Linked DNA regions of Arabidopsis thaliana. The protein of the gene in region 3 binds, or shares a complex with, the protein of the main gene of each other region. Each region holds a gene or a part of one and is shown on either strand. Other genes may lie near its edges. The genes, in order: NYE1, HCAR and ACD2.

Evidence for each region.
Region 1: ACD2 (region 3) and NYE1 share a complex: the UniProt entries of both Arabidopsis thaliana proteins name them as parts of the SGR1-CCE-LHCII complex.
Region 2: ACD2 (region 3) and HCAR share a complex: the UniProt entries of both Arabidopsis thaliana proteins name them as parts of the SGR1-CCE-LHCII complex.

The regions. Positions count from the first base shown.
Region 1 is NC_003075.7:12,016,396-12,027,012, forward strand, and holds NYE1 (non-yellowing 1), read right to left. Parts: upstream 2,249-10,617; 5' UTR 2,212-2,248; intron 2,140-2,211; 5' UTR 1,575-2,139; coding exon 1,434-1,574; intron 1,317-1,433; coding exon 1,143-1,316; intron 949-1,142; coding exon 781-948; intron 705-780; coding exon 381-704; 3' UTR 68-380; downstream 1-67. Other genes in the region: PYR4 (pyrimidin 4), read left to right, coding at 2,920-2,949, 3,078-3,226, 3,419-3,600, 3,716-3,852, 3,922-4,087, 4,169-4,285, 4,372-4,532, 4,614-4,805; AT4G22940 (Protein kinase superfamily protein), read right to left, coding at 4,981-5,322, 5,404-5,586, 5,669-5,896, 5,980-6,297, 6,386-6,673, 6,749-7,072; AGL19 (AGAMOUS-like 19), read right to left, coding at 7,551-7,703, 7,801-7,842, 7,967-8,008, 8,609-8,708, 8,796-8,857, 8,973-9,051. UniProt on the Arabidopsis thaliana protein: Magnesium chelatase involved in chlorophyll a degradation in the chlorophyll-protein complexes of photosystem I (PSI) and photosystem II (PSII). Contributes to the degradation of PSI and PSII in the thylakoid membranes.
Region 2 is NC_003070.9:1,280,278-1,290,894, forward strand, and holds HCAR (coenzyme F420 hydrogenase family / dehydrogenase, beta subunit family), read right to left. Parts: upstream 6,343-10,617; 5' UTR 6,216-6,342; coding exon 6,134-6,215; intron 5,725-6,133; coding exon 5,619-5,724; intron 5,527-5,618; coding exon 5,442-5,526; intron 5,351-5,441; coding exon 5,239-5,350; intron 5,093-5,238; coding exon 5,008-5,092; intron 4,904-5,007; coding exon 4,862-4,903; intron 4,728-4,861; coding exon 4,649-4,727; intron 4,565-4,648; coding exon 4,513-4,564; intron 4,414-4,512; coding exon 4,351-4,413; intron 4,177-4,350; coding exon 4,079-4,176; intron 4,002-4,078; coding exon 3,966-4,001; intron 3,886-3,965; coding exon 3,824-3,885; intron 3,720-3,823; coding exon 3,692-3,719; intron 3,597-3,691; coding exon 3,517-3,596; intron 3,432-3,516; coding exon 3,362-3,431; intron 3,264-3,361; coding exon 3,206-3,263; intron 3,046-3,205; coding exon 2,981-3,045; intron 2,886-2,980; coding exon 2,791-2,885; intron 2,683-2,790; coding exon 2,592-2,682; 3' UTR 1,886-2,591; and 1 more. Other genes in the region: YUC3 (YUCCA 3), read left to right, coding at 123-494, 827-1,054; AT1G04625 (Polynucleotidyl transferase, ribonuclease H-like superfamily protein), read right to left, coding at 7,554-7,643, 7,955-8,511, 9,417-9,543; MEE4 (GRIM-19 protein), read right to left, coding at 9,644-9,788, 9,875-9,946, 10,495-10,617. UniProt on the Arabidopsis thaliana protein: Probable iron-sulfur flavoprotein that converts 7-hydroxymethyl chlorophyll a to chlorophyll a using ferredoxin as a reducing equivalent. Catalyzes the reduction of a hydroxymethyl group to a methyl group. Belongs to the chlorophyll catabolic enzymes (CCEs).
Region 3 is NC_003075.7:17,436,741-17,447,357, forward strand, and holds ACD2 (accelerated cell death 2 (ACD2)), read left to right. Parts: upstream 1-5,871; 5' UTR 5,872-5,886; coding exon 5,887-6,228; intron 6,229-6,404; coding exon 6,405-7,022; 3' UTR 7,023-7,555; downstream 7,556-10,617. Other genes in the region: AT4G36980 (CLK4-associating serine/arginine-rich protein), read right to left, coding at 76-272; HSF4 (heat shock factor 4), read left to right, coding at 3,920-4,138, 4,331-4,966; CEN2 (centrin 2), read left to right, coding at 7,575-7,577, 7,672-7,801, 7,879-7,915, 8,004-8,031, 8,138-8,290, 8,396-8,498, 8,579-8,640; AT4G37020 (initiation factor 4A-like protein), read left to right, coding at 9,038-9,090, 9,173-9,221, 9,311-9,448, 9,728-9,970, 10,065-10,104, 10,185-10,438. UniProt on the Arabidopsis thaliana protein: Catalyzes the key reaction of chlorophyll catabolism, porphyrin macrocycle cleavage of pheophorbide a (pheide a) to a primary fluorescent catabolite (pFCC).

The DNA.
Region 1 (10,617 bases), 5.4 Mb from region 3:
TTCTCATGAATGTTTTGATATATTAAAATATATATGTTCATTAAACAACAATTTATTCATCTTTATGTTTGCATTGCAGTAGTACTATACCAGTCTGTCACCTTTAATATTAGCTAATCTGTAAGAAATTTACATTTTGATCTTGTGGATGAGATACAATACAAGTATACAACTATGATAAAGACTTCAGAGTAGACACAAAATACCATTTGAAACTTTAAAATCTGTATTTAACCTACAAATAATCATTATTTTCCTATACCACATTATGTACACCAAACCAAACCAATATTTAGATCCACCAAAAGGAAAGTCCTGCCATTTCCTTTTCACTTTGTACAAACTACCAAAAGAAAAACTTGTAATTTGATATTTAGTCACTAGAGTTTCTCCGGATTTGGAGTAGCAATTCCCTCAGTCTGAGTCCCAGAGTAACCATTTACACCTTCATTACTAAGACTATGAGACCATGGAATCGAGCTAACGGTTGGAAAACAACAACTACACTCGTCCGCACACCGAGCCTCGGGAAGAGTCTCAGTCTTGTGACCATCAGGCGAAACAGCTTCCCAAAGCGGACCCCAACACTCGACTTTGTTGAACTCATTGACATTAGAATGGAAATAGACCCAAACAAGAGCTTCTTGTAGCTCAGGATAGTTGTTCAACAAGTTCCCATCTCCATGCACAAAAGCCTTCAACACCTGTATATATCAAAACAATAAACATTTTGTTTTACATGAAACCAATAAAAAGTTTCTTATGAATTTGGGAACTTACCACAGGTAGTTCTTTGCAAAAGATGAAATATCGAAACTTTGCAAAGAGATCTAAAAGGAAATGGCCACCGCTTATGTGACAATGAACGTGAAGCGACATTTTCCCTTTCACTTTCTTCCATTCTGCCACAACTTCATCCCGGTATAGCCTATTTGCCCATCCTTGCAACTATAAAAAACATTTCTATACATATCAGCCTCTAAAGTGTTAAGAGATTCTGGTGAATATAGACACATACATAGGTTAAAACAATCATACATAAGCCTCTAATATTTGCTCCAAATAATCAAATACATAAACATTCTACTCCTATAAACAGAGCCATGTAGATATGTTAAGACCAGAGAGAGAGGTGTTTTTACCTGAGAGTTGTTTATGGATTGAGAAATAGCTAAGGTTAGTTTAGCTGTAATGTCACTGTGAGTGAGTGTGTAAGTCCTAGGGAGCGTTGAAGGATGCTTCTTCTCATCAACCCCTAAGAAGAGTACTTTCAATTTGGATGATTCGAAAATCGCCGGTCCAAACAACCTTGCAACCTGCACCGATCCCAAAAGTTTCAAGTTCCATCAATAAAGACAGAGGCATAGATATATCCATAACTGAGACACATAAAACAAAGATATGTCAAAATGATTAAGAGAACAAATCCTTACGGGAACAATCGATTGGTTCTTCTTCTTGGATCTTCTATTGTTGAAGAAGAGTGAGCTGCTGCTGCTACTGTTACTCCGTTTGTCTGAATAAGCTGGTTTCAGCTTCGTTGGTAACAACATAATCGCCGACAAACTACACATCTCTGCTCTCTTGAAACCCAAATCAAAAGCTTCAATATTTCAGAAATAACAACAGAACAAAACGCCACTAAATACAGAGAGACTCCTTTCACGAAGCTTGGATACAATTTTTTCACGCGAGTTCTTGCGTGTTCGTACACTGAAACCACAATCAAAAAGATTGTAACTTTAAGAAATAAATATATAAAAGACCCAAAATTTGAGCTTTTCCTTTGCTTGATGATTGCTTGAAGCTTTGGTTTTGAATTTTCCTTTTGAGATCTTCCAGGAATTTAGGGTTCTTTGTGATGCGTATTGAGTTGGTTCTTGTGTTTAAAAGGGATTGTTGCTTCACGTTTCACACTTCCGTGCCCAAATCTGAACACTCTTTTGGAATTTTTCTGAACACGAGAGAGTGCCACGTGTTCTCTAATCTTTGCATGAGCTTCCCCATGTGTCGTCATGGTGGGGCTAACAACTGGCTCTAACCGTCTTTTTGGATAACTTTAGCCATCTCGTTGCGACAAAGAGACACAGATTCGGCTCTAACCGAACCTAACTCACGTACTGTAGTTGTCAGTCGAACCTAAAGCAATACGGTTTAGTTTCGGTTCAATTTAATGTCATTCGACTCGATTACTCGGTTTAGTTATTAGACCTGTGAAACTCGAGAGGCTTCTTCGCTTGAATCGTCGTGAACAAGGACAACAAACGCAGGTATTGATGGAACCGGAGGAGTCAGAGAGTCCCATGTTGATCCATAAGGATGTTAAAAAGGGCTGAAATTTGTGATCAGGTCCAGGTCCATTAAAAATATCGGGCTAAAATTGGGCTGGCCTGTTACAGAGCTTTTATTTTTTTCTTCTTCTTTTACGTTAAGCGACGTCGTATCTTGTAAACAACAAAACACGAGTACTGTTTTTTCTTCTTCTTTCTCCTTCAATCTCTTCCTCAAATCACTCTTTTTGGGGTTCGTTTTGTTTGTGTTGTAAGCATCCCTGTTGTGCATTTCGTTTATCCAGGTTCGTATTGCTTACCTAAACAAGTTCAAGTTTTCGATTTTGGTTTCTAGGTGTTTACCAGTTTCGCCATTTTGTGGTTTATTGTTTGGATAATTTGATTTCTTTGGATTTTGCTGATACCCATTTGTGTGTATAGAAATTTGATTAATCTGGATACTAAATTTCGTTTGGAGAAACATTGAACCAAAGGAATGCGAAATCTTTTGATGATGATTGAATAGTTTTAGTGCCTGCTAATACTTTAGAACAGAGTCAATTTTTTAAGGTCATGTTATAGAATCTGAGTCTACTTGTCATTTGCTTTGGAACAGGTGAATTCTTGCAAAGCCTTGAGCAGCTTTCAGATGATAAAGACTTTGGTCTCTCCTTATAGTGTATGTACTCTACCTCCACCACTCTTTGAGTCTTATTCTTGTTTAGTTCAATCCACGTGATCCAGTTTTAATTTTATTTAATTCCTCCTATGCGTCTGTTAAAGTCAACTATTTTATTCTTTATGTAGGGATTTGGATCTCAGAAGTTGAAGTTTGACAGATCTTCTGAGAAAGTGAAGACGAGAGCAGTAAGAATGGAGCTCACAATCACTCAACCTGATGATTGGCATCTTCATCTCCGTGACGGTGATCTTCTTCATGCTGTTGTTCCCCACAGGTCTTATAAACATCCTGCAATCTTTCTTTTCTTTCCTTGCTTTACTTTGTTTTGCAGCCACTTTTTTGTTTGCTATTGGTGTTTCTTGTGGAACCATTGTTTGTTATGTATGAATTCCTCAATCACAATCTTGTGCTGGCGTTGATGCTTGTGCTGTACATGATGGTTAATGGTGTATGTAATTATGTGCAGTGCGAGTAATTTTAAGAGAGCGATTGTGATGCCGAATCTGAAGCCTCCTGTCACCTCCACTGCAGCTGCCATTATTTACCGGAAATTTATCATGAAAGCTTTGCCATCTGAGAGTAGCTTTGATCCACTTATGACACTTTATTTGACTGACAAAACTCTACCTGAAGAGATCAGGCTTGCAAGTAAGTACCTGTGCTTTCTCCATCTTGTTGCAAACTAATCAGATACATTTTCATCTTTCTGATTGAGATTCTACTTGCTAATGTTCAGTTTATGCATATATGATCTTGTTATTAGGGGAAAGTGGTGTGGTTTATGCGGTGAAGCTGTACCCTGCCGGAGCAACAACCAACTCTCAAGATGGTGTCACGGATCTCTTTGGAAAATGCTTACCGGTACTAGAAGAGATGGTCAAACAAAACATGCCTTTGCTGGTAAATAAATCATACACCACATAGACTTGTATTTTTGTCTTTGTCTTGTCTGAGGAATGTTTTGATTAGGTTCATGGGGAGGTCACAGATCCGAGTATCGATGTCTTTGACCGCGAGAAAATCTTCATTGAGACAGTTCTGCAGCCTCTAATCCAACGCCTTCCGCAGCTGAAAGTAGTGATGGAACACATCACAACCATGGATGCTGTGAATTTTGTTGAATCTTGCAAAGAAGGTTTTGTTACTATCTTATTTTCATTTCTTGTCTTTTGGTTTTTGTTAATCTGCATAGCTCATAACATTTTGTTGATTATAGGGTCTGTGGGTGCAACAGTCACACCACAACATCTCCTTCTCAACAGGAACGCCCTTTTCCAAGGTGGATTACAACCTCACAACTACTGTCTTCCCGTTCTCAAAAGAGAAATACATAGTATGTTCTTCACTTTCCTTTTGAACATTAATATTTCATTTTTTCAGCAGCTTTCGGAAGATCATTGCTTTTACTTCATTGTACAGGAGAAGCCATTGTCAAAGCTGTAACTAGTGGAAGCAAGAAGTTCTTCCTCGGCACAGATAGTGCTCCACATGAACGGAGTAGAAAAGAATCATCCTGCGGATGTGCTGGTATTTACAGCGCTCCCATTGCCTTGTCCCTATACGCCAAGGTCTTTGATGAGGTAAACTGTGTAACTTCAAACAGTTTACTTTCCCGGTTTGTGATTCCTTATGTTCATAACTTTAACTTCTTTAACATTCAGGCGGGTGCGCTGGACAAGTTGGAAGCTTTCACCAGTTTCAATGGACCTGATTTCTATGGCCTTCCGAGAAACTCGTCAAAGATCACACTGAAGAAATCTCCTTGGAAGGTTCCAGACGTTTTCAACTTCCCATTCGGAGAGATCGTCCCTATGTTTGCTGGAGAAACCCTTCAATGGCAACCGTTGAAATAATGTGGTGATTTGAAGTTGTCAAATTTTTTCTCCCAAATAAGTGAACTCGTGTACCTTTTGGATTGAATTTTCTTACGGCTGAGTTATGCCCTGCATTTTTTGAGGAATAAAAGCAAGATACTGACCAATAATGTTTATTTTGTGTTTGAATCTGTCTATTTTCTCTATATTGAATCTAAATGACAGTATAATTCTCAATCAGTGTGGGTCTGATTCCTAGTCCTCCCGACGAAGATGTTCCATTCTCGTAAAGGCTAGGCAGAAATGCTGTTGGGTGAAGTGTAGATGGACTCATTGGCCAAGGTATGCGTTCCTCCATATTCACTGATCCGCCTAGATTCGGTTCTTCTGTAGATGGGTCCATGTAAGAGACTTTCGCGTTAGTTTCATCTTCAGTTATCATGTCTGTAGATGTTTGCATTTTCCCAGCAGAATGGTCCGGTAAACTGGAAGTCTTGTCTTCCTCGTAAGACTTTGTAAGTGAACTGTCTCTGCTCTTGGAATTTGAGGACTTTCTCTGCATATGCATAAACTTTTATTTCGGATATTTCTGCCAAAACACTCAAGAAACCAAGAAACCGTAAGAGTAGAGAGATACCTGCATCGGCTTTGTGGGAGACGAATCTGCTAGAATTGGCTGAACAGCTTGAGCTTCGTCTGTTCTTCTTATTTGTGAAGCTTGTTTTCTAGTGTTATCGCGCATCTTGATGTTGATTTCCTTACTTGAAGGGTATTTTGGTAGACAAGATGGATCACAAGCCAATGGCTCAGTTTTGAAGTACTGTTTCACAGTGAAGAGTATAATCAGTTGAAGTCACAAGAACAACATTTTTGTCAGAGGAATACGTAAAGTCCAAACTTACTTTACTCTTGAGAGCACTAGCTGCAGTGCCTCGGAAATCTGGATCTATTGAGAGCAAAGTTTCTAAGAGCGAAATAACTGAAGCTGGAAACTGTTTAAATGTCTCTGCTATATGTGATCCATATGGATAGATGGGTCTCAGTGGAGTTGAAAGCTGTAGCTTTAGTTTTGTCCAATAATCATCTGAAGGCGATCCACACAACTTGAATATCTTGTGCAGTTGGTCTGTCTTAACATGAGAATACAGAGAACAAAAATCTGAAGCTTTGCTTATCTGGTAAGAACAAGAGTGATAGGAATCTAATTGCTTACCTCATTTTTTCCTGGAAGAATAGGCTTTCCGGCATATAATTCACCTATTACGCAGCCTGTGCTCCACAAGTCAACTCCAATACCGTAATGAGAAGCTCCAAGCAAAAGCTCAGGAGGTCGATACCATAGAGTTGCAACATGGGTTGTCAAAGGAACACTGTTATGAGGATCGAAGAACGTAGCTAACCCAAAATCTGCAATCTTGAGGACTCCATCACCGTTGATCAGAAGGTTCGAGCTTTTCATATCCCGATGGAGTACATGATTAGTGTGACAATGATCAAGCCCTCTTAAGAGCTGCCTCATGTAGCATTTAACCTGAACAGAGAAGAAGAAGAAGAAGAGAGTACCTGAGAATTTGACACCAAGTAATGAAGAGAGTGTGAATAGAAGCGATAAAGAATACCTGAGGTTCTGAGAAATGTACACCGAGTAATGAAGAGAGTCCCAAGAGGTCATGTTCCATGTACTCAAAGATCAGGTAAAGGGTAGAGGAATCGTGGTCTACAAGCATTAACCCTTCTAATTTGATGACATTGGGATGATCCAACTTGCGCAGGATTATGATCTCTCTGGCTATACATTTGATGCTTTCTGAGTTGTTGATATCGAACCGGATTCTCTTCAAAGCCACGGTCTTGTTACGAAGAAGATCTCTAGCTTTGAACACCTTACTGAATGTTCCTCCCCCAATCTGTTGCAAATACAGAGAATAAGTCTCTTTATCATATGAGAATCAATAAAGAAAGGAAGAGAAAGAGCGAGAGACTTGTTCTTGCTTCTCAAAGTGAGATTCACGACCAGGGGTCCAACCAACAAGGGCTTCACCAGCTACAGAAATAAGCCACGGTGGCCAACCAGAGGCAGCTAATTCCGATGAGCGAGGATGAACATTAACAACGAGAATACTTTCTTCTCTCTTCAGCTCCTTTGGACCTAATTTATCACTCATCTTCAACAATTCTGTCACCTTTTGGGCTTGATCATTTGCTATTCTTCTTTCTGATGGAAGAGTATGGAAACGAGGACGGTTTTCCGGCAATCCTGTTGGTGCCGCCGGTTTATTCCTCCGATAAGAAATGATACAACCCATATTGACCAAAAGCTTGAAAGCCACGGCACTGAATGTATTACAAAGAGATACATTGTGAATGAATATGATGATGAAATTAGAGAGAGAATATCGAAAGTGCAATACACAAACGCAAACTATACAATAAAAGTGAAAAAGAAATGTCTGAACAGAATTGAATTCGCCGGAAAGCGACAGTACGCAATCCAACTTATTCGTTACAGAGACCCCACTCCTAAAGGCTTATGTCCCTAATCATTTTTATTCTCTCTGTATGTTACGTAACTAAATACTTAAACCGATTCAGTTTAGTTCGGTTTGTTCAAGTCCTAATAGATACAAGTAATGGAACTGTAAGTTACAGGTAAATTTTTAAGTTTAACTCTTTGATTAAGAACATATTAATTATTACATCTCAATTTTTTTGGACGAAAATATATAAAGATAAAAAGTTCTTACATCATATAGTTAAAACATTCTTTTTGAAGAAGTTGTAAGATTAATTTTGAGGAGGGAATTTTTTGGATTGTCTTGTCTCAGGAGGTCCAATGAACAAACCAGTCTCCACTTCCATATTGTCATCTATGTTCACTTCTGATGATGATAACGTTGATTGTGATGATGCTATTGTTGCTGTTCCCATTCCAAGCCACTTTTATTTTCACAATTTCACCGAAAAAACTCTTCTACTCAGCAACATATTAACATATCATAAAAATAATACCTTTTATAAGATGCTAAAACTGTACCTTCTCCTTCAGATCTTTATTTTCCTTAACGAGATTCCTCTCCTAGTAAGATTTTGACAAGGAACAGTTATATGAAGTATTAATAACGAGATACAGGATGACTCTATATATATGTAATTACATTTAGAGAAAGCAAAAAAAAGTTTAAGTATGAATTGTGTTTTACCTCTGCCTTCAACTTCTCAATTTCTTCACGGAGTAATTGGTACTGAAAATAATTGAATATACGAACAATCTATAAGCAAATTTCCACATTATTAATAGATTATGAAGACATTTGCATGTATATTCCAAGGAATCTTTCAACTAAGTATCCTAACACTAAGTGCGTTGTTGATACTCATTGTTTCAATGTTATATTGAGGAATCATCAATAAAATTACTCAATGTTGCATGGCCTCAATGAGGCTGATGATATGATTAGTGAGGCCATGCAAACCATTCACAATTTCACATAGACATTAAATAAAGAACGCATGCATGCATGATTAGCGAGACCATGCAAACCATTCAATTGTTAACGGTATTGCATATATAATAATAACTAAAAATGATGAATTTTTTTTTGCTAAATGAATTGAATCTAGGTTTTAACTATATCTTTTAATTACTTGTGTAGATCACTAGATTAGTATGGTAAAATTATTTTTGTAAACGCAAAGAGCCAAACACATGTATAATAACTTCCATCATATTAAGTAAACATAAAATTTTCTCATCAAATCTTAATATTCTAAAATTGCGGAAAAACGATTATAGTATCTTAATCCTAATTTCCATTATCACTGGAAATGAGTATAAATAATACCTTCTTGGCTCTTATCCTGCTCAAGCTTCGGTCCAACTGATTCTCTAACTGTTGCAGCTCCTCGATGGAACATGCATCAATGCCTTCTCCAAGCAATTTTCTGCAATTATTCAACAATCAAAGTATCTTATAGTTCGTTTATAATTTTATATAAACGTTTCTCATAAGAAATTTTGAGTTTCAAAACCGTTTAGATATCTCTAGCTGTTCAATCTTTTTTGTCAATCCAGATGTTTCGTCTCTCGCTTGCTGTCAAGTAAAAGTAGTATAGTCGGTTAAATATTTGGAACACACAAAAAAAATATTTATAAAAAATATCGTACGTTTACAATATGTAAAACCCGAAATATGAATGAGAATTTACCTGAGAATTATCATTTCTCTTATGATTATTCCCAATTTCTTTTATTCGTCTCTGATAGCGTTCAATTGTTGCTGCTATACTGAAATGAATCAAATGAAAATAAAAGAAACGAAAATGTGGAGTCAAAACCAATTGAAGCTATATATGCATATATGTGTGAAAAGTATATACTTATGTGACTAAATAAATAAATTCCATTTATTTATTGACATTTAGAATATATATCATCATGATTTATGACCGTTAAATATTGAAACTGAACTGTGAACGAAGAGAATCACAGAGAATCATGCAGATATGGCTTAGTTGCATTGTTCCCAAAAGTTAGGATATGATCTCATGTTTCGAGGACCATATATAATATATACATGTTTATTTTCTAAACAAAATAATAGGTTATATGAAAACAAAAGAGTGTTCCTCTTTACTTCAAAATGCAGAAAATATCAAATATATTGTATTTAAGATTTATGATTCAAATCATGCATCAATATTTTACATGGCTACGCCAATATACATATAAAGAGACAAGTATATATAGATGCACATGGACACGCTCAAATCGAAATATTGAAATTAATAAGCTAAACCTTTAGAGTATCATTAAGCAGTGCGATAACAACAAGGATTATGTGGTTAAGAATACCTAGTTAATTGTGATTAACCTCTCTTGAGTTTGCTCAAAAGACATTTCATAGTTAATTGTTAAGTGCTTAATCCTTTATAATCAAATCTATATTTATTCAGCATAAATTATATCCCAAAGAATAAAATAAGAGAAAACGTAGAAAGAATTAAAATAATTCTGATCTACACACATGCGATGACTTCTCTACAGTTAATGCTCAATTAAATCACGGTGTGTGTTAAAATTAAGCAAAATAGTACCTCTTAATTTGTTGCTAAATTTTACATATTCATGCATACATATAAAGTTTCCCATATATATACATCCACATACACATATACAAAAGAAGCATCTGTAATTTTGTAAACTCGCATGAATGAGAATGTGTTATATCATGAACTCATCATGTCTGATTTAAACATGTGCAAATATATTTATTGATATGTATAATGCAAACCATGATCAAAACTAGCATTATTTACTACAATGCTTCGTCTCATCCCTAGCATTATGTAGATATATCTGTCATCATCATATATGATATATTTCTACTGACACACACACTGTATATGCATTTGTATTACAGCAGGGCGAGATACATGTGGACATATATATCCAAATAAGGAAATTTATTGTTAATCCTGAAAATGACTATTTTCTAAATTTATAAACATGTTGATAGTATGTACAGTCCTAATTTGAACAATATAAGGACACTTTATATACTCAAAATTAAGTCATAGATATTGTTACATACACATAGCCTAGCAGTAGCACTGGTGTCAAACTCATCTTTCTTACAAACGGATAAACATCAAGTATCTCAAAATAAAAGTTGTTTGCATTTCAAAATATCTCAGTAAATAGAGAAAGTCAGAAAGATCAACTCATCTACAGCGAAAAATGGATGGCTCATAACAAGTATACATATACTTGATATACACACACGTTTCATAGGTTGTAGTGCCATAAAAATCTGATGACTACAACTACAAAAAGTATCATTAGTGTCAGTCC
Region 2 (10,617 bases), on a different chromosome or scaffold from region 3:
ACCAAAAGTTCAAATCTTTATAGCCCCTAAAACAGAGCATCCTCTGTTTCTGTTACTCTGTTTTCTAAAACAGAGCAGTATCTAATAGTCTGTGTTTTTTTTTCCTTTCTTGATTTTATCAGGTTCATGTTTTACCAAGAGAGATTTTTGGGAAATCAACGTTTGAATTAGGAGTTACGATGATGAAGTATATGCCCGTTTGGCTCGCGGACAAGACTATACTCTTTCTGGCGAGGATTATCTTGGGGAATACCGATAAATACGGTCTAAAAAGGCCGAAAATTGGACCGTTAGAGCTAAAGAACAAGGAAGGCAAAACTCCGGTTCTTGACATCGGAGCGTTACCCAAAATCAGATCGGGAAAGATCAAAATCGTCCCCGGAATCATAAAGTTCGGCAAAGGCAAAGTTGAGCTAATAGATGGCCGTGTTCTTGAGATTGATTCCGTTATTCTAGCTACTGGATACAGAAGCAACGTCCCTTCATGGCTTAAGGTAATAAATAAAACATCTTTCATTCATTGTTTCTTCTCAAGGTTTAGCTTAAATTTTAGACATTTAATGATGTCGGAAGACAAAACACACAAAAAAAACCACCCGACCCGGTCCTAGTTTAGTGAAAACCCTACTCAAATTGTGTTTCGAATGTGAGCAATAAATGCAAATGAACCATTAACATTTATATTTTCATCGAAAAGGATACAAAAACGTGGTACTAGTTTTTGGTTAGAAATAGAAATCCGGTAATGACAGTTAGGACTAAGAATTAGGTCAATAAATTCGTATGTGTACTAATTTGGTGTGTTGAATTTTAATTGTATTAACAGGACAACGACTTCTTCTCCGATGATGGGATACCAAAAAACCCGTTTCCAAACGGATGGAAAGGAGAGGCGGGATTGTATGCGGTAGGGTTCACGAGAAAAGGATTGTTTGGTGCGTCGCTTGATGCTATGAGTGTGGCTCATGATATTGCTAATAGGTGGAAAGAAGAGTCTAAGCAACAGAAGAAAACTGCTGCTGCTCGTCATCGTCGTTGTATTTCACATTTCTAATCATCATTATCAAATTTAGGGAAAAAAATATTCAAAAAAAGAAGAAGATAATTAAGCCCTCTCCTCGGAAGAAAATACCCCCAAAAAAAAGAGAATTGTGAAAAGAAAAAAATAATAGGGGGATTTTTCTTTGTTTTTTTAGGAAGATGTGGCTTTTTTATGTATTTTTATTTTAAGAGTGCTTTATTTTGTTGTTGTATTTTTTTTAAATCTTCATTTTAGATTTTGAACTCTTGTAAGAAGTTTTGCTTAATCTAATATGACAAATATATTTTACGGTTTTGTAATTCTTTTCTCAACGATGCATGTTGTGTTATCTCTATGATGATGTTGTTGATCAGGAAAAGAAACAACTAATTTCATGCTGTTTCATTATTGGAAGAATACTCTCACAAGTTAGAGCTGTTATTTAACTGATTAAGGAATTATTAGCCATTTTGTAATCATTATATTTGGCAAATGATTGATTTACACATGATTGTCTTGGACAGTCCATATTAAAGTTGTTTCATGGATTACAACCTCCAGGGAACACAAGTTGAAAATACTGAAACATGCATTTCTGTAGGATATGCAAAATCCATTAGGGATGAACAATGTATCTAATTTGAAACACAGATGGATAATAAATATAACATTATACAACTTTCTCAGAAAAACTTGAGTGAAATCATATATTATATATGATGTTGGATCTAGTTATAAATATATATATACTGAAACAGATACAGATACAGATCCAAAATATGCAATACGTAAATGAATTCTCTAACATTGTTATATGTCAAATTGCAACTCAAAATTAATTCAAGGTACCAAAGTAAGCTTTATTTCACTTAAATATATTATTAGAAAAAACGTTTACATGCTCTGTATTAGGACAATGCCTCTGGTGAGAAAAAATCAACTATGGTGCAAAAGAGCAGAGACATTTATGAGTTTCACTTGAGGTCTGAGAGTCTCTGCAGCAAAGTCATTGAACGAGCAGAGCAGAGACTTGACTAACAAAAAGACAAAAAAAGAAAAAAAGAGAGAGAGTAAAATTTGAAGTTTCCAATGTGTGAAATATGGTGATGAGTAAGTTAGTGAGTGAGTGAGTGAGTGAGCGAGCGAGTGAAGCTTAACCATGGTTCCTTCTTCTTTGTCCAAGCAAAAAAAAGACATTAAAAGCTAATTCCCCCCAACTGTGTAAATGTCTGGTTCCCATCCTCTTAAAACAGTTATTCATGTTCTCATGCAAAACCCTGCAACCTTTTACTCGGACATCACCTTAACCTAAAGATATGGAGGAAGGAACCCACATGGGTTGATTTGGATTCAGCCGCTGATTTAGACTGTTTCTTATTCTCTGTTCTCTGCCAAAAAACACCAAACCGACCCATCTTTTCTTGCCGGTGTCTTACCAAATTCACGAGGGAAATAGTTTTGGATATTACTAACATACTACAAGTTGAGAAACAGTAGGACCAATGTACATTTACTCACTTGTAGGATGAAATATACATTTGGAAACTTACATGAGAAAGGCCTAAAATGTTCATTTCTTGGAGAGCATTTTATCTATTTGGCCGTTTTTGTTGTACATTTCCACTATCTTTTTGGCATATGATGGCATGTGGGTGTTTGCTCTGTAGATGGTAATGCAGCTTTGGTCATTAGAGAACGATCCAATAGTATAGAAATACACAGTTGATCGCAATAAACTTTTATCTCTAGGAGTGTGTTTCAGATCTTACCTTTGCTTTCCCCATTTGCGGTTTACGTACAAATAGTTTCTGATGGTATGGTAGTCCAACGAGTACCGAGCAAATTCTAGACCCTTAGGACCAACCTGAAGCAAGAATGGTTTTGCAAGTTAAGAAACTCTTTGACTTTTTATGCAATGAGCTTGTTTCTCGGTTTGTGTTCATAAGGAAATAATCTTACCAAATTTAGGATGAACGCAATAATGTTTCCAACAAATAGTGGCGCTGGCTGAGCAGGACCTTGACCTAAGAAATTATAGACTAGTTAGAAGACTTTAGCACAATGTTAGTTGCATGCATTTGCTGAGAACTTTCTTTTTGGCATCTAGCTTTGCTTGAAACTGAATGTCTTTAAGCAGAGACGATTCAAGAAACAAAAGAGTTTCGAATACGTTTGAAAACATACCAAACTTAGCAGCATCGTCTGCCTTAACAGTTTCTGTCACAAAAGGTCGCCGATCACCCTGAAACAACAACAAAAGGTGTGTTTGTTCATGTTATTTGTTAAGTGGACTCTTAAAGTCTTAAATATAACAACAAATATAAATGTTAGAAACTTTACGCTGCTGATTGTTGGAGTGATCTCCAAAAGGTTTTCTACCAAGCTGAGCATTTCTTTCCCACGTTCATTTCTGTGGTTTAAGGCATAAACAAAACTAATTTTATCCAACCACGAGAACCTATATGGTCCATGTCAAAATACGTAGAAATATTGACCTCACTGTAATATACTGTGGATGGTCAGTCATGTTCAGACCTGAATACTTCGGAACACCCATGTAACCGATAACCAAATCCTAGATAAACAAGCTCATACATATCAGGAAATGTTTGAAATTGGCAGAATCAAAATTAAGTGAAAAGACATCTTAATTGCTAGAGAAACACTCACCGCTAATGCATTTGTGTAATCAAAGCAGCTGCAGAATAAAAAAGATAGGGTTTGTAATTGTAGACAAGTTTTAAAAATTTCCGACAGGTTATCTATTTCAAGGTATAGAGACAATGCAGAGACTTGTATTACCTGTAACACGATGGAGCTATGACATCTACTAAATCGTTTGCAGGTAGAGAGAAATAGGGAACCTGCTTTAGCCAAAAAAAGTTTTTTAAAAACGGCTTTCAGCTGCAATTGCAGAGCAACACAGTATTTTAAGCGAATTTACCTCTTCAATGTGTCCATCCAAGTGTTTGAGTTGGACCTATAAGAGAAATTGAACAAGATTGGCATCACCAAAGAAAATGCACAGATAAGTGATGGTTTTGTATTAATGCTAACCTTGTAATCTTGCATAAATTCATAATGGAGAACAGTCTCTGGCTCTTTACTAGCTGCTTTCAGAAACTTGTCTAGTCCATCTCGTGTTCCGTTGTCCACTATTAATCAAAGATGTTCTTTTTACTTGTTTAAAAATGTATAAGCATTTCTAGACCTAAGCATACAAGACTCCGAAATAACATATACAACATGGAATGTTCAAAAGTACAACACAAGAACTAGTTGTGAAAGTTCTGGAGAAAAAACAAATCTAGATAGGATGAGGAAAATACCACAATTGGTGCCTAGTACATACAACTTTTCCAGATTCAGATGCTGCTCCACTGATCTCAATGCTGCAGTATAAGAAATCACTCTGCATTACAATACTATGAGAGTCACGATATGGAGAAACTTGAAATATACGTCCACAAAAAAGTATGTTGAGCCCATACCTTGCACTTGGCAACCCACACCGCAAAACAGAAGACGCTTCACTCCGGAAGCCTGTTACAATACAAATTCTAAGTTCATGTGAAATGGATTCAGTGATTGAAAACACAAACAAGAAATAAGGGTTTGGCAAATAACCTCGATTAATTCAAGAGTATTCAGATTAGGAGACAGAGTTGGCTTGACACCTCTTGCAGCCAAAACTTCTTCAGGTGTCCTTAGAATGAAAAGAAATGAAACATCAATACGCTTCTATATCCAGAGTAACAGCAAAATATGGATCCACATCTAAAAAATGGCGACTTGAAGAAGAATGGACTCAAAATAAACCACATTAGGAAGGTGGAAAACCTGGCTAATACTGGTCTTGGAGATAATCTGTCTTCAGGATCACTGTAATATTTCAATAAATCAGTTACATGGATAGATGGAAAAATCTACAGCATGGTCGATAAATGTAAGCCTAGTCCATTTCTGAAATTCAACAGTAGTTTTACCTCTGCACACAAACGACAGCTTCAACCATATTAGATTTCAGCATCTCAATGGCTATGGTTGTGACAATTCCAGTCCACTGAGCTCCTGCAACCGAAAATAGAATGAAAAGTAAACAACAAAGCTAAGCTAAATTCATCTTGAACGAGACACAAAAGTGCCCTAGCTTAGATTGAGCCAGGAAAAGAAGTTAGTAGAAAATGTGGAACAGTGGAAGGGAAGTGTCTATTTACCTTCGACAGGCTTCAACTTACGAGCATAGAGCTGCTCTTGATGCACCCCAAAATATGTATCTTGTAAGGAATCTGCTTTCCTTCCTCTACCATGCACAACAGGTTCCAAGCTCTGCACAAGAACTTAAAATATTAACAAAATAAGAATCTTAGCCCATCAATTAAAAAGAGTATCAAATCTTATCCATTTATATGGACATTACCTCAATCCTTGACATTCCATCTCCAAGAAATGCACATGCCTCCTTCACATGGGCAATGTAGTAGGTGTCGCATAGCCCGCACTGACTGCAAACCCATCAGAACACCAAGGATCTTGATAAGAATGAGACAAAAATAGTGAGGTAAACAAACAAACAAACAAAAAAGAAAGAAAAAACCTGCAATGGTCTTTAGCTGGATAGGTTCCTCCGGGTGGGATAGGTCTGGACTTTTCTCTCCAGTCTTCTCTTAATTTAACCTTCTTTTTTGGCTCTAGATTCATATCTGCAATTAAAGCCATAAGAGAAGGGTTCATGCAGGCTTCAGAGAGAAGATAAAAACACACAAGACAAAGATCGATGCTATACGAAACAAAAATCTGTTCCGAAATTCTGATGCTTTCAAACAGAATTGACATTATGCAGTAATACATACTAAGTTAACACAAGATTTCTATCTTCAAACTCGATAGTGACAGCTGTGGAAGACCAAATCAAGCATTCGACAAACATTACCACTATGTTCGAAAAGAAAACTCCGAATCTTAGATAAAATTTCATCCCTTTAACGAATTTCAGGGATCGGTTACACTGAAATTTTGTATAAGACGGGTCTTTTAAAAAACTGAAGAATCAACGACGTGTGTAAAACAGAGTGCTATAAAGAGAAGACGTGGCAGAAATAAATTGAGCACCTTTGGAACGCGAAGAAGAAGAGTTAACGACGGAGAAGACTGGAGGAAGGAGAGAGAGCCTGGAGGTGACGACAGTAATCATGGTTGCCCAGCCAGAGAAGAAGAGAAGAAGAGAAGAAGAGAAGAGAGTAGAGAGAGAGAAAAGAAGATATTTTTTTGCTTTTGAACTTGGATATCTTTTAGGAACCAAACTTGATAACCAATTCTTAACCGGACTGAATGGTTTTGGTTCGTAAGAGCTCTTTCACGGGCTTTCTCCATTTTTTTATTATTAAAATTTTTAAAAAGTTATAAGAGAGTTTTAATTTTTTTTCATATTCTAATGGTAAGCTCTCTTATAAGAGTTTTCTGAAAAATAAAATAAAATTTAAAATAATTATATTTCATATAACTTAATAACTATTGTAAATCAGAAAATATTAAACATATATTATTTTGAAACATTTTAAGAAAGATATGAAAATAAAAACACGGAATAACGATAAGTTCTGTCGATTGTTGCAAAATTTAAAGATTGAAAATAAGAACAAATTGTTTTAAAGAATAACAAGATTGTCGATTAAATCGGTTTTAATTTAAGGACTAAAGTGATAATTTGTATAAAGTATAAGCTCTGATATGATTATAAGTGACTCTATTGCTATATATCTGAAATTCATCTTCTTGTTTCTGTCTCCTTAACTGAATCCATAATGTGTTTATATAGTTATTCATCATATGTTCACAGAATTCTGTGTTTCTTTCATGTGCTAATTGGTACAATGTTAGTTTAATTTTAAGAGTTAAAAATATTTGTACACAAATTAAAGTTTTCACATAATAGTTTTCAGTCTCATATATTGCAACAAGTCTCTATGCAAGCTAACACAAAGGCAGTCTTCCTATGCAAGCTCTTTAGCACATCATTCAGATTATCTGATCGAACTACATACATGGCCACTAACACATAGTCACATACTAACCATCTCCTAACTTGTATTGGTTAAAACGCTCAATTTATAACACCACAACATCGACAAGAAATCGAGAGTAACAACTAAAACATGCTTCCACGACTCTCTATGATTCTACAAATAAACAACAGAGACTACAATAGCATTACTCTAGTTACAAGCAGAACCTAGACAACATAACAAAAGCCAATTCTTGATTCAGAACAAGGAATGATGACTAACTCAAAATGATTGTCAAAGAAACCCATTTCAATACTCTAAAATTGGAAAGCATCAATATAGCAAATGATCATAAGTGGCTGATACAAGGTCCAAAGCATGGATTACGAGAAGAAAACAAAAAATCCACCTTCTTCTTCTTCTTTTGTCTTTTTAGCCTCTGTTTGTTTCTGTTCCTCTCTTACAAAAAGAACTCACCGATCACGAGAACGTCAAAGCTCGATGATCACCATCCATTTTCACCACCGTCAGAACCGTCGGAACTGTAACTCGGTGATCACACCATCAATGATCTCGCCACCGTTTGTCTCTCTGTTTTCTTGCGTTTCACGATCTCTCTAGCAAATCATGGCGGATCTCACCGAGAGTCCCAAGTATTGACGCAAACCACGCGCCGTTGTCACGAGACTCAGGTATGTTGCTTCTCGCTTAAATTCCTATTTGATCTCTTGGAACCTTGGATTTTTAATATTTAGTTTCTGCACAAAAAAGGTCTCTTTGAATTAGGTCAATCAATATTTAGTTTTCTAACCGCAATTTCATCGGAGGAACTAGGGTTTGATCTTGTAGTTTTTTTTTTTTTCCTCAAACATCAGCTTTATTAATAATTTGCTGTAGCAAAGTCGCGATGTAAAAAATCAGTTATTACAAACGGGATATAGTTATAGCAATAAAACTGAGTGTTCAAAGGAAGTTGTTGTTTTGCCAGAGCATCTGCAGCCATGTTTGAAAATCGCCTTGTCCAAGTAAACTTGCATTCTTCAAATTTTGATCTCCAAGCGCTTATATCTCTTATCCAATTAAAAACTGCAAAATTTGAAGACCGACCATTGACAATCTCTGAGACTTCTTTATTGTCACCTTCAAAGTAAATTTTCCTATAGCCCCTACTCCAACAATGTTGCATGGCCATGACTAAAGCTTGGAGTTCACTTTCCATCGGATTGGTAGTAATAGAGCCTATAGCATGAGCTGCACCTAGAAAGGTTCCTCGATCATCCCGTAAGAGCCAACCCGCTTTACTCGGAGCGTTGCTGTGGTAAGTGCCGTCATAGTTGCATTTCGTCCAACCAATAGGGGGTGTTGTCCAGAGATTAGCTGTTGGTTCTTGTGACGTTACTCTGTCAGGTTTTGATGATAAACGGTGGGTGTACTCTTCTGCATCTTGCCATTCTTTGGCGTCTTGTCTTGCATATCGGAGAGAAGCTTCCCATGGAATGATCTTGTAGTTTAGTTTTACAAAATTGACCTAAAATTGGTGGATAATGTTACGACAGAGCTACACTAGGACTTTGGAATGGGCTTTGCTGTATGAGGCCTTCGTTACACTAGGACTTTCTTCATTCTAACTTTTTTTCTTCTTTTCTTTAAAAATTATTTTAACCAAAACTAAAACTTTCACTAAAACATTTAAATAAATAATTTTTTAAAGGTTTTTTATAAATACTAAATTAATATGACGTTGTGAAATCTAACCGGATTTTTGATCCCGCCATTTAACCGTGGTCATTAGCGATTCCATAAATCCAACATATTTTTCACATCTTCATGTATATTTAGCATTTATTTTTTGTTTTCTTTTCTTAAAAGTTTTTCAAATTTTTTTTGATTTTTTTAAAAGTTTTAATAAATACTAAATTAATATAACGTTGTGAAATCTAACCAGATTTTGGATCCCGCCATTTAACCGTGGTCATTAGCGATTCCACAAATCCAACATGTTTTTCACATCTTCATGTATATTTAGCATTTAATTATTTTTATTTTATTTTTTTAAAAATGTTTTCAACTCTCTTTTTTTTTCCTTTTTCTTTTTTTTAAAAGATTTTATAAATACTAAATTAATATGACGTTGTGAAATCTAACCGGATTTTGGATCCCGCCATTTAACCATGGTCATTAACGATTTCACAAATCTAACATATTTTTCTCATTTTCATGTACTATATTTAGCATTTAATTTTATTTATTTTCTGAAAAGGTTTTACTCTTTTTTTCATTTTCAAGAACTCTTGTTTTCAAAATTTTATTGTTTTGGATATTAAATTCACATATAATTATATATGATTTGGTTCGATTTCACTCGGTAAGCTTTTTCGAATATTTTTCACCTGGAGCTGTCAAATAAGCCAATTTCTTGCAGCTTGCTGATGAATCATGAAACTGTTTTTGCCTCATATTACGATTGAAACACTTAAGAGAAAACCAATACAAGAAGAATACTGTCTGTTGAATCATTCTCTTATTACCCGAAGAAAAAAAGATATAACAAGAACATATCAATCCTCAGCGAAACATCATTCATCATCATCATATGCATTTGAGAGAAACTAGGAAATCACCACACATCAGGACGGAGTTCCCCAGTAGCCGGAGGCATCCAGCGACCAGAATTGTACACATTCTCGCCAACTTTCCATCCCGGAACATCTTTCATTACATCAGCCTCATATTCCAGATACTTTTTCCACTCAGACACAAACCTAGAATGCAAAACGGGGATTGAAACAAGATTGCTATCTGAAGGTTGCTGCAGGCACATTGACTTAAATTTGAGAATATGGTTTACCTTTCATCTTCTTCTGCTTGAAGAATGGGAAGTATTGTTCTACGAGCAGCATATTTCTCTTCCTTCAATGCCCTAAACATCACATCAATCTTGATAAGAGCATTAATCTTGATACTTACTGATATCAAATCAGACTTGTTTAGGACCATTGTAAATGCATAAGAAGTTAATGATCAAGCCAGATATAATACTAAAACAATCTATCTACATAGAAACAGTATCCCGATAACTACTATCAAAACATGCAACTAGATAATTGCTTTCATCATAACAGATTCTCACATCTTTGCAATTGTGGCTTTAAGAGTTTACAAATTGTTGACGAACTTTATATTCGTTTAAGGCTAAACTCATGCTGATTAAGCTTCAACCAAAATGTCGGGGAATACTAATAACAGAATACATAACAGTGATTCAACAAGCCTATGTTTCCATAGGTTAATAATATTAACCAATTCCTACGATAAACATACTCAAGTTTCAACAATTATTAACCAAAATGTATCCTTCACTACATTACTATGGTCATCAATCACTCCACAACACTAATTTTACCAAGGCGATCTCGAATTTTAGAGGAAAAATTGAAATGTGAACGAGCTATTACAAGTCGTTCTTACCTGCGGATTTTGTTTCCCTGGCCGACCTGGTACATTCCCCAAGCAAAGGCACCAGAAACGGCAAGGAACATGGCCATTGCACTAGGACCCGTATTGGATATCCGGCGGGCATATCGGACCGGT
Region 3 (10,617 bases):
AAAAACTCCAAGAGGATCGTTAGATCATCCAGATTGGATTATATATGGAGAATTATTCGTAAAGGGATTCATTACAAGCCCTGTTGATCTTCGGTGGCTTGGTAAAGACCATCATCACGGAATACTCGGTAGCGGGAACCAACGGCTTGAATCGACTGAATAGGATCTCCACGGCGTTTAGCTAAGTAAATAGCTCGCCGCTGTGCTCTTTTCCGAGCAGCGTCCATCATATCGTGAACCTTCTTCTCCGATCTTCTCGCTTCGTGCCACATCTTGTCCTTGCTCTCTAAGCTCAGAAGAAACCCTAATTAGCTCTTCGAATTGGGAAAATTTTCAGGCGAATTTTGGCGATAATTTTATATTTCCGACGACTAGTTTACAGAGAATTTGGACCGTCCGATGTAAAGCGAAAATAGATCTAGGTTTTCCACGTGTCCCCTATTTTAATGAAACCTTCTGATTCATGTAGAAGTTTTACTCAATTTAATATTTTTTAGTATGTAGTTTTGTGTGTGTGTGTGTGTGTGTTTTTATGGCTCCACACCAACTTTTAAAATGGTAGAAGCATGTTGCATGTGATCGAGTAAAAAGCCAATAATGAGATTCAGAAAAATAAAAATTACTTATATAGTTTTTTAGAGAAAAAATTGTATTTTGTTTAAAGCCTTAATCCGGTTGTTGAAAGAGCTGTGTCACGAGTTAAAAATATTTTCTTTTCATTTTTTAAGTAATTAGTTTATAATGCAAAAATGGTTTTTATTTATTTGTCTTCGCTTATAGAACTGCAAATTGAGAGAGAAAAAAATGAATTAGTGGTGGTGACCAAACATTCAGGAAGCTGTGATTGATCATTTGTTTTTGAGGTGAGTGTAGTGGCAACGTATGACGTTAACATATGGCGTACATAATAATTACATGAACTTAATCATAATAATCATATTGCATTTAATTCATATATCATATCCCATTAGTTGGACCACTTGATTTGAGGTCATGAGAAGAACATTTATGTTTTTTTTAGTTTGAATCGGAGTGATCACTAAAAACTAGATACTGAAAATTTTCAAACTAAAATCATATTAATCTTCAAAAAATGTGAAATCTAAAAAAAAAAAAAATTTTAACGCGTTCATTGTAGCCAAGTAGCCAAGTATTGTTAAAGTAGTAGTAAAAGAAGTTTAGCTTTAAGTGATATAATTTGACACAAATCCTACTTAGATATGGATAATAGGATATAGCTTCATGTATATTTTTATCGTTGCTTCTGTAACCCCAAAATGTGTTGATATAAGCATTTGAATATTCGTATGTATAATGTTTTCTTTTCACCGTAAAACATATTACAATGTTAGTTTATATTGGATTTTGAATGTGTTTATGAACAGTTTTTGTCGACTCAAAAGTTAAGATGAGAATATGGAAGAAAGTAAAGTTTAAAAGTCATGATGGGAACAAGGAATGGAACTCAAACATTCTAATACTCAACAAACGCAATTATATTATTACCATGACTCATCTTTCAAGTTCCATCAAAAAGATTCGTGGAAAATAATAGACTTACGTTTCAAATCCATGTTTCTTTCTTTATAACAAAAAAAATGGATGTTTCTTGACGCGTGTCGAGAGTACTCACCATTACTCTGACTTCAGTGAGTTTGGTCAAGTGGTCTTTTTTTTTCTCATGTCACCAAAGGTCCAAACCCTAGAAATTAGTTCGAACTTTCCATAGAAGAACTGAATAAATGGTCCAAAATTGTTTTAAAAAGGACCTAAGCCATTAGTTCATTGAATTCGAGTTAATGGGTGAAGATTTTTATGATAACGAAAGTCGGAGTAATTATGCTTTTGGTCCGATAGTTTTCTAATTTGTTTTCTTTCCATTTTTTTTTTTTCAAATACTACATACTATATAAGATAGTGGTTTGTGTTAATGTCATCGATGTGTTACCATCCGCATTATATTAATTATTTATCCCAACATAAAGTCAGAATCTGTAATTTCTTTGTTATAAAATACAGTAAATGGTTCCGTTTAAGCTGTTAGATGATTTTTGAGTAAAAACTAATGTAAAAAAAACAAAAAAAAAACAATGTAGTTCATAATACATGCATGTTTTAAAGAAGTTTCTTGTTTACTATCAACTTGAATAGTATTTCACGAAGTCAAAATTGTTCATTCCGACTTTTCTATGTGGAGAAAAAAAATTCTATCATTGTGCACAATTTAACAGAATGTAATTTCTTGTAAAAGAAGAGGAAACAATTCGCTGTTAGTAAATGTGAAGTATAGAAGTCTAAAATGAGATACCTCAACTAGCTTGAATTAAGAAAAAAAACAAAAACTCTATCGACATGAAAAAGGTCGCAAATATTTATCATTTATCAATGCCAAAGGAGTATTTGGTTCACAAAATACTGAATCATTTATATAGATATATAATTAGCTCTAAATTCTACTATAACTTGCAAAATAAGTATACTGACTCAATTATATAGCGTTTAAAAATAGACGATTTGTATGATGAGGTCCATATATATGGAGATGTGCATGCAACTATCGACATTTTCACACGTTGATATCGTCTTTCTCCAATGGAGACTTGAATTTGTGTAAACTATGAATACTCGTCTCTCTAAGACCTTTTTTCTTCAACCATGCCAACTATTTAGGTAAGATTTTACTGTCTTTGATTGATATTAAATACTTAGCCGTGGCGTTATCAATGAATGATAATAAAAATGCGGATAAAAGCCAAAGGTGTTGGAAATAAATCCAAGAATGAAGACGTAGATGTCGATGGGTATTTTAAGAACTTGAATTTGTCACGACTCACACGTTAAAATATATTATCCGAATTGTTTAGTCTAAAGACACACATATATTGAAAAAGAAAAGGTAAATGAAGCTCATTGGTGCCTAAATGTGAAATGAAGCCGAAATGTGTTAGGTGAACACATTTAAATATACAAAAAGAAATATAATAGAAACAAAACTAATTAACAAAGTCGCAATTTGTATTGTATAAAATATCTTTCCGTCTCCCGTCATATTTGAAAAAAAAAAAATTACAAATCTGTTAATTTTAAAACTTTCTAGAAAAACACAAGTATATAATTTTCTCTTTTCGTGCGTGTTTGTTTTAAAATAACATTGTTTTGATTGGCGACTCAACATATTTTAGCATTTACATATTTCTGCATATATTAAATGATTTATAAACTCAACTATAGATTAAAATATAATTTGACATCTAATAATTTTAACAATAATATAAAATATGAGATTTATAAATTACGAATATAAATATTCAAGGGAGAGAAAAAGTAGAACATAATTCAAAAGATAAGACTTTTTAGACTTTTTTAACAATATTTTTGATGGATAAAAATTATTCAAAAGAGAAGAAAGTAAGAAGAAAAGATGTTTCTGAGAATTTCTAGAAACAGCATCCGTTTTTATAATTTAATTTTCTTACAAAGGTAGGACCAACATTTGTGATCTATAAATCTTCCTACTACGTTATATAGAGACCCTTCGACATAACACTTAACTCGTTTATATATTTGTTTTACTTGTTTTGCACATACACACAAAAATAAAAAAGACTTTATATTTATTTACTTTTTAATCACACGGATTAGCTCCGGCGAAGTATGGTCGTCGTCTTCATCTTCTTCCTCCATCATCAGATTTTTCCTTAAATGGAAGAAACCAAACGAAACTCCGATCTTCTCCGTTCTCGTGTTTTCCTCTCTGGCTTTTATTGCTGGGATTGGGAATTTCTCACCGCTCTCTTGCTTTTTAGTTGCTGATTCTTTTTCCTTCGACTTTCTATTTCCAATCTTTCTTCTTCTCTTTGTGTATTAGATTATTTTTAGTTTTATTTTTCTGTGGTAAAATAAAAAAAGTTCGCCGGAGATGACGGCTGTGACGGCGGCGCAAAGATCAGTTCCGGCGCCGTTTTTAAGCAAAACGTATCAGCTAGTTGATGATCATAGCACAGACGACGTCGTTTCATGGAACGAAGAAGGAACAGCTTTTGTCGTGTGGAAAACAGCAGAGTTTGCTAAAGATCTTCTTCCTCAATACTTCAAGCATAATAATTTCTCAAGCTTCATTCGTCAGCTCAACACTTACGTGAGTTTCACTCTAACGAAAACTCATTTACTCTCAATTTAATGCTTCATTTAATTCGTTTGGTGAATTGAATCATTCTTTTGTAGTTGGTTAGCCAATTTCGTAATTTTCTCATAATTTGGGGGTTGGTGAGAAAACCTTCTAGAAGCTGAGAATGTTCTTGTTCTTTTTTTTTTTTTTTTTTTGGTTTAGGGATTTCGTAAAACTGTACCGGATAAATGGGAATTTGCAAACGATTATTTCCGGAGAGGCGGGGAGGATCTGTTGACGGACATACGACGGCGTAAATCGGTGATTGCTTCAACGGCGGGGAAATGTGTTGTTGTTGGTTCGCCTTCTGAGTCTAATTCTGGTGGTGGTGATGATCACGGTTCAAGCTCCACGTCATCACCCGGTTCGTCGAAGAATCCTGGTTCGGTGGAGAACATGGTTGCTGATTTATCAGGAGAGAACGAGAAGCTTAAACGTGAAAACAATAACTTGAGCTCGGAGCTCGCGGCGGCGAAGAAGCAGCGCGATGAGCTAGTGACGTTCTTGACGGGTCATCTGAAAGTAAGACCGGAACAAATCGATAAAATGATCAAAGGAGGGAAATTTAAACCGGTGGAGTCTGACGAAGAGAGTGAGTGCGAAGGTTGCGACGGCGGCGGAGGAGCAGAGGAGGGGGTAGGTGAAGGATTGAAATTGTTTGGGGTGTGGTTGAAAGGAGAGAGAAAAAAGAGGGACCGGGATGAAAAGAATTATGTGGTGAGTGGGTCCCGTATGACGGAAATAAAGAACGTGGACTTTCACGCGCCGTTGTGGAAAAGCAGCAAAGTCTGCAACTAAAAAAAGAGTAGAAGACTGTTCAAACCAGCGTGTGACACGTCATCGACGACGACGAAAAAAATGATTTAAAAAACTATTTTTTTCCGTAAGGAAGAAAAGTTATTTTTATGTTTTAAAAAGGTGAAGAAGGTCCAGAAGGATCAACGCAAATATATAAATGGATTTTCATGTATTATATAATTTAATTAGTGTATTAAGAAAATAAAACAGATGTTGAAGTTTTATTGTTGCTTAATTTATGTCTTCATAATGTAAAAAAGCATGTGAAATACTTGGTCTAAGGTCATCTACTTAGTTGAAAACTTGTGAAAGAGGAAGAAATTTTACTTTTATGTTTGATTGATTTTCTTTGCAAGTAGTAGTAGGTGGTTTCCGTGTTTTTACGTAATCCGTTGAATATTTTTCCCTCGAAATTGTCTTTATAAAAGTCACAGAAACATTTTCTAGAACTCTTTATCAGGAAAATAAAAATAAAGATGTCTTCAAGGAATCGAAAAAATACAGCAATATACTAAATAGAAAATGCTATGAAATTAAATAAAAATTTAGTAAGGTTCCAAAGACACTACTTAACTAGAGAGAAAAATAATTCCAACTAGCTCTACAACAAACAAATCATTTACTTGTTTAAGAATCGAAAAATTTAGAAATTTATTCTTATTATTTGTTTGCCCAATTAAGTCGCTCTTGGCCCAATACTTGCATCACTTGATTGAGTAGAAGAAGATCACTTACCAACTCTCAAACCATTTAAAAATTAAAAAGCATAGTTTATTTTATTTAAATATGTGTATGTAATAATTCACCACAAGAAATATATTACAAACCACAAAACTATAATCCCGGTAAAATAGTAATTAATTTCTTCAAAAGTGTAAATAAAAAAGAAGAGACATAATTTAGTCATAGCCACATAAAAAATGGCGATGATATTTTGCAACACTCTCTACTCTTCTTCTTCTCCATCATATCTCTCGCCGTTAACTTCAAAACCGTCGCGATTCTCAAAGAATCTCAGACCTCGAGCTCAATTCCAGTCCATGGAAGACCACGACGATCACCTCCGCCGAAAATTTATGGAGTTCCCGTATGTGTCACCCACGCGGAAGCAGCTCATGGTTGATCTCATGTCGACGGTGGAGAATCGCCTCCAATCACAACTCCTTCCCTGTAACCTCCCTCCAGATGTACGAAACTTCAATAACCCTAACGGTTCCGCCGAAGCATCTCTTCATATCAGATCCGGCGACAAATCTTCTCCGGTACTTGCGACGATTAACTCTGTTTTTCAGTTATGAGATCGAAATTGACTGTTTTGCATGCTTGTTTTAGAGCTCAATTGCTTGATTTTAAGTAGAAACAGACTTCAATTTCGATGTAAATCATAACCCTAAAAAAAAACTTTTTAGAGAATCTTAAAGTTTGTTTTGTTTTGCAGATTGATTTTGTTATAGGAAGTTGGATACATTGCAAGATCCCAACAGGAGTATCTTTGAATATAACAAGCATCTCTGGATTCTTAAACTCATCAACAAAAGCTCCAAACTTTGTGGTCGAACTAATACAGAGCAGTTCCAAGTCGCTTGTGCTAATCCTTGACCTCCCACATCGTAAAGATCTTGTTCTTAACCCGGATTATCTCAAGGAGTATTACCAAGACACTGCTCTTGATTCTCATCGACAATCTCTCCTTAAGCTACCTGAAGTTAACCCTTATGTGTCTCCTTCTCTCTTTGTCCGTTCTGCTTTCTCTCCTACTGCTTCGATGCTTAAGATTGATGCGGAGGAAGAGGATAAGTTGGAGGAGATATTGAGAGATCATGTTAGTCCAGCTGCTAAGGAGGTTCTCGAGGTTTGGTTGGAGCGGTGTGTGAAGGAAGAAGAAGAGAAGATTGTGGTTGGGGAAGAAGAGAGAATGGAGTTGGAGAGAAGAGATAAAAGCTTTAGAAGGAAGAGCATAGAGGACGATTTGGATTTGCAGTTTCCGAGAATGTTTGGTGAAGAAGTTTCCTCCCGTGTTGTACACGCTATTAAAGAAGCTTTCGGTGTTCTCTAGATTATGTAACTATATATATACATCAGTTAATGTTCATTGTACTAAACATTTACTTTCATCAATGTCACAAGAACGCAAGATGACCATCAAACAAGTCCTGTTTTCTCCTAAGAACGTCTTTGTTGTGAATCATCTCTGAATCGGATTCCTTCTGATTCATTTTAATACTATGGGATTGTAAATTTATCAATCAAGTTTCTAATTTATCTGTAAAAAAAAGTCTTGAATTATTGTTTTTCTCATGGATTTTAAAGTTTTTTTTTCACTATTTTACATGGATGTTTTGTTAAATTTCTCGTTCTCTAGATCATGTCATTTTACATTAGCAAAACCAATATAATATATAGATTAATATTAACGAAGGAACATAAACGTGCAAAACTAAAAGTTTTAAAGCTAAATCGCTTTCAAAAGAGTTAGTAACCAGACAAAAAAGAGACAGATCATCGGCAACTAATCTCGTCATCGCATGCATCATAAACCAAATTAACTAAATCATCCATTTAATCCATTTGTTCTTATCAGATCATCCTTTTCCTTCCTACACAAGAAATGGTTAGTGTTTTCTTTTCTCGATTGTCTCTTAGTTTAGATTCTTTATCCGACTACTTTGTTCATCGGTTTTGTTTTTCTTTTTGTCTTCCGGAAGGCGAATTACATGTCGGAAGCAGCACAGCTCAGAAGAGGTCTAAAGCCTAAAGGGAAGACTTATGGGTTGACCAATCAGAAGAGACGAGAGATCAGAGAGATCTTTGATCTTTTCGACATAGACGGTTCAGGTAAACTATTAAACCGATTCTTTATCCGATTTACAAAGTTATTGCTCACATGATTTAGTGCATCATTTCATATGTAGGTAGCATCGATGCTAGCGAGCTCAACGTTGCTATGAGGTCAACGGCAATTTTTCTTTCTTTTTCAAAGTTATTTTCTTCAAGTTCTAGTTAAGTATAGTACTAAAAAATTATCAGCTGATTACAGGTCTCTTGGATTTGAGATGAATAATCAGGTTTGTTTGTTTTCCTTCCTTTTTTCTTCTTTGTTTTAATTTCATGGTTTAGATCATTGTACGTAGAACCAACTTGTATTTAGTTTGGTCATGTTCATTGTTGCAGCAAATAAACGAATTGATGGCAGAAGTAGATAAAAACCAAAGTGGAGCCATAGATTTCGACGAATTTGTGCATATGATGACAACCAAATTCGGAGAACGAGACTCCATAGACGAATTGTCTAAGGCGTTTAAGATCATTGACCACGACAATAATGTGAATAAATCTAAACCTGTCATTATTTCATTCTTTTTAATATTATCTTTTTTTGTTTGGATTGATTTCATTGTGTTTGACTGGACAACTTTTGGAATGTTTTAGGGGAAGATTTCACCTCGTGATATAAAGATGATTGCTAAAGAATTGGGAGAAAATTTCACAGATAATGATATAGAAGAAATGATCGAAGAAGCAGACCGTGACAGTAAGCAAAAACACATAATAATTTTGCGTTTTATCTATAATCGGTCCCTCAAGTTCATGTTTTTGCCTTAACCTACGCAGAAGATGGAGAAGTTAACTTGGAGGAGTTCATGAAGATGATGAAGAGAACCTCTTACGGCTAAGTATAAATCAATTAGTAATGGTTGTGAATAATATTTGTTAATCACCTTGATTTATAATAATAAAGAAGTTTGATTTGTGGCTTGGTCGAATAAAAATGTATTGTTGTATAAAAATAATAATGTAATTCACATCCATTATTTTGAATATGTAAATGTCCTTGAACGAACATTTGTTTTATCATTTTTTATGTATAAATGTCTTTGACCAAAAAATAAATTATGTAAAATATGAACCAGAAACGATGTTGTTTAGATCTGATACTTACATATAACCAAACGACGACGTTGCTAGAGTAATAAATCTCAAAAGACTGGAAACGACTGCGTATAAGTCCGTGACCTGGTTACCGGAGCGTAACTTCTCCGGCGAATTGGACAATTTTGAGAAAGACGGATTATGGACTCCATGGAAGCTCCATCTCTACCATTTCAATCTCCCTCTCGTTCCAGGTTTTAATTTTGAGTTTATAAGGATTATCTCATACCTTCTAACAAAAACCCTAAAAACCCAATTTGTTTTTTTGGTTTGCAGTCAACAATTGCATTTCTACCTCGCCGTGGATCGTCCCCAATTCAAAATGGTAAGTAAATTGTATCAATATTCCTTGTAATTTCTCATCAAGACTGAGATTCTGAATCGCAAATTTCGAAACTTTGGATGTGGGCACAGGAGACTGTAGTGGAATTATTAGGCGTTCTAGGTCGTCGTCCATGGCTTCCGATTGTAGTCTGTTGCAGCTCTCGTGACGAACTTGACGCCGTCTGTTCTTCCTTATCCACTCTTCCTTACATTTCCTTAGCCGCTTTGGTATCTCTCTCTCTTCTTCTCTTTAACTTTCATAGCTGAGGCATGTTTCTTCTTAGTCTTCTCTTTGGTATTTGATTTGAAAAGACCCTTCTTGTTGATTCACTTGCTTGGTTCATCATGATTTGAGTTCATTGTCTTTCATTGTTTGATTGATATCATCGGTTTTTTATATCCGTTTGTTATTGTTCTTGTTGTACCACTTTCTTGTTCATCATGGTATTAACTTACATGTTCTTCCCACTAGGTTATGTTTATGTTCAACGTCTTTTGTGTCTACAGTACAGCGATCTAGCAGATAGAGAACGAGCTATGGTTATAGAGAAATTCAGGCAAGCAACAATCAACTGGAACCAGCAACTTAACTCTGTGGTAGAAGAAGGTTTGGAAGAGAGTGAAAACGGAAAAGAAGAAAAGACATCTCATTTGGTAGTTGTGACCGATGTTTGCCTTCCGTTACTCTCATCAGGAGAATCTTCTCTATCCGCACGCGTTCTCATAAACTACGAGCTTCCTACAAAGAAGGTTGGTTGGTATTTTTCTTAATCAATCTGCAATTGTCAAGTCAAAATGTCCAGAACCTTCCTCTTATTCACTACTTGTAATGACCATGTTTCAGGAAACATATACAAGGCGTATAACAACTTGCTTAGCTTCAGGTTCTTTTTTTTTTCTTTCAAAACAAACTCTTTTTGTTCATCAAACAATGTCACTTAACATTTGAGACTTTTCTCTTAAGGTGGAATAGTCATAAACATGGTTGTTGGAGGTGAAGTAACGACTCTCAAAAGCCTCGAAGAAAGCAGTGGCATACTCATCGCTGAGATGCCAATCAATGTATACAGTAGAACCAATCAATCAAAGAAAAAGCAAGAAACATTCTGCTGTTTTTATCTTAGGTTAATGACTTCAAATGTGCTTTCTTATTGCAGATTTCTGAAATCTTATAACAACACATGGATCTCCGATCTGAAGAATTCTAAATGGGGTTAATGGCTCTTAAGCCTTTTGAAGGACTAGAGGAGATGAATGGTGGATTGATAACGCTTTATTTGTTTGATTGTATCCAGATGTCTCTTGACCATTGCGCTCAAATCATCAAAGCCAAACTTATTGTAAAACCAGTTTCTTTTTTTCTTATATTATTAAAGAATGTTGAAACGAAAGAAAGT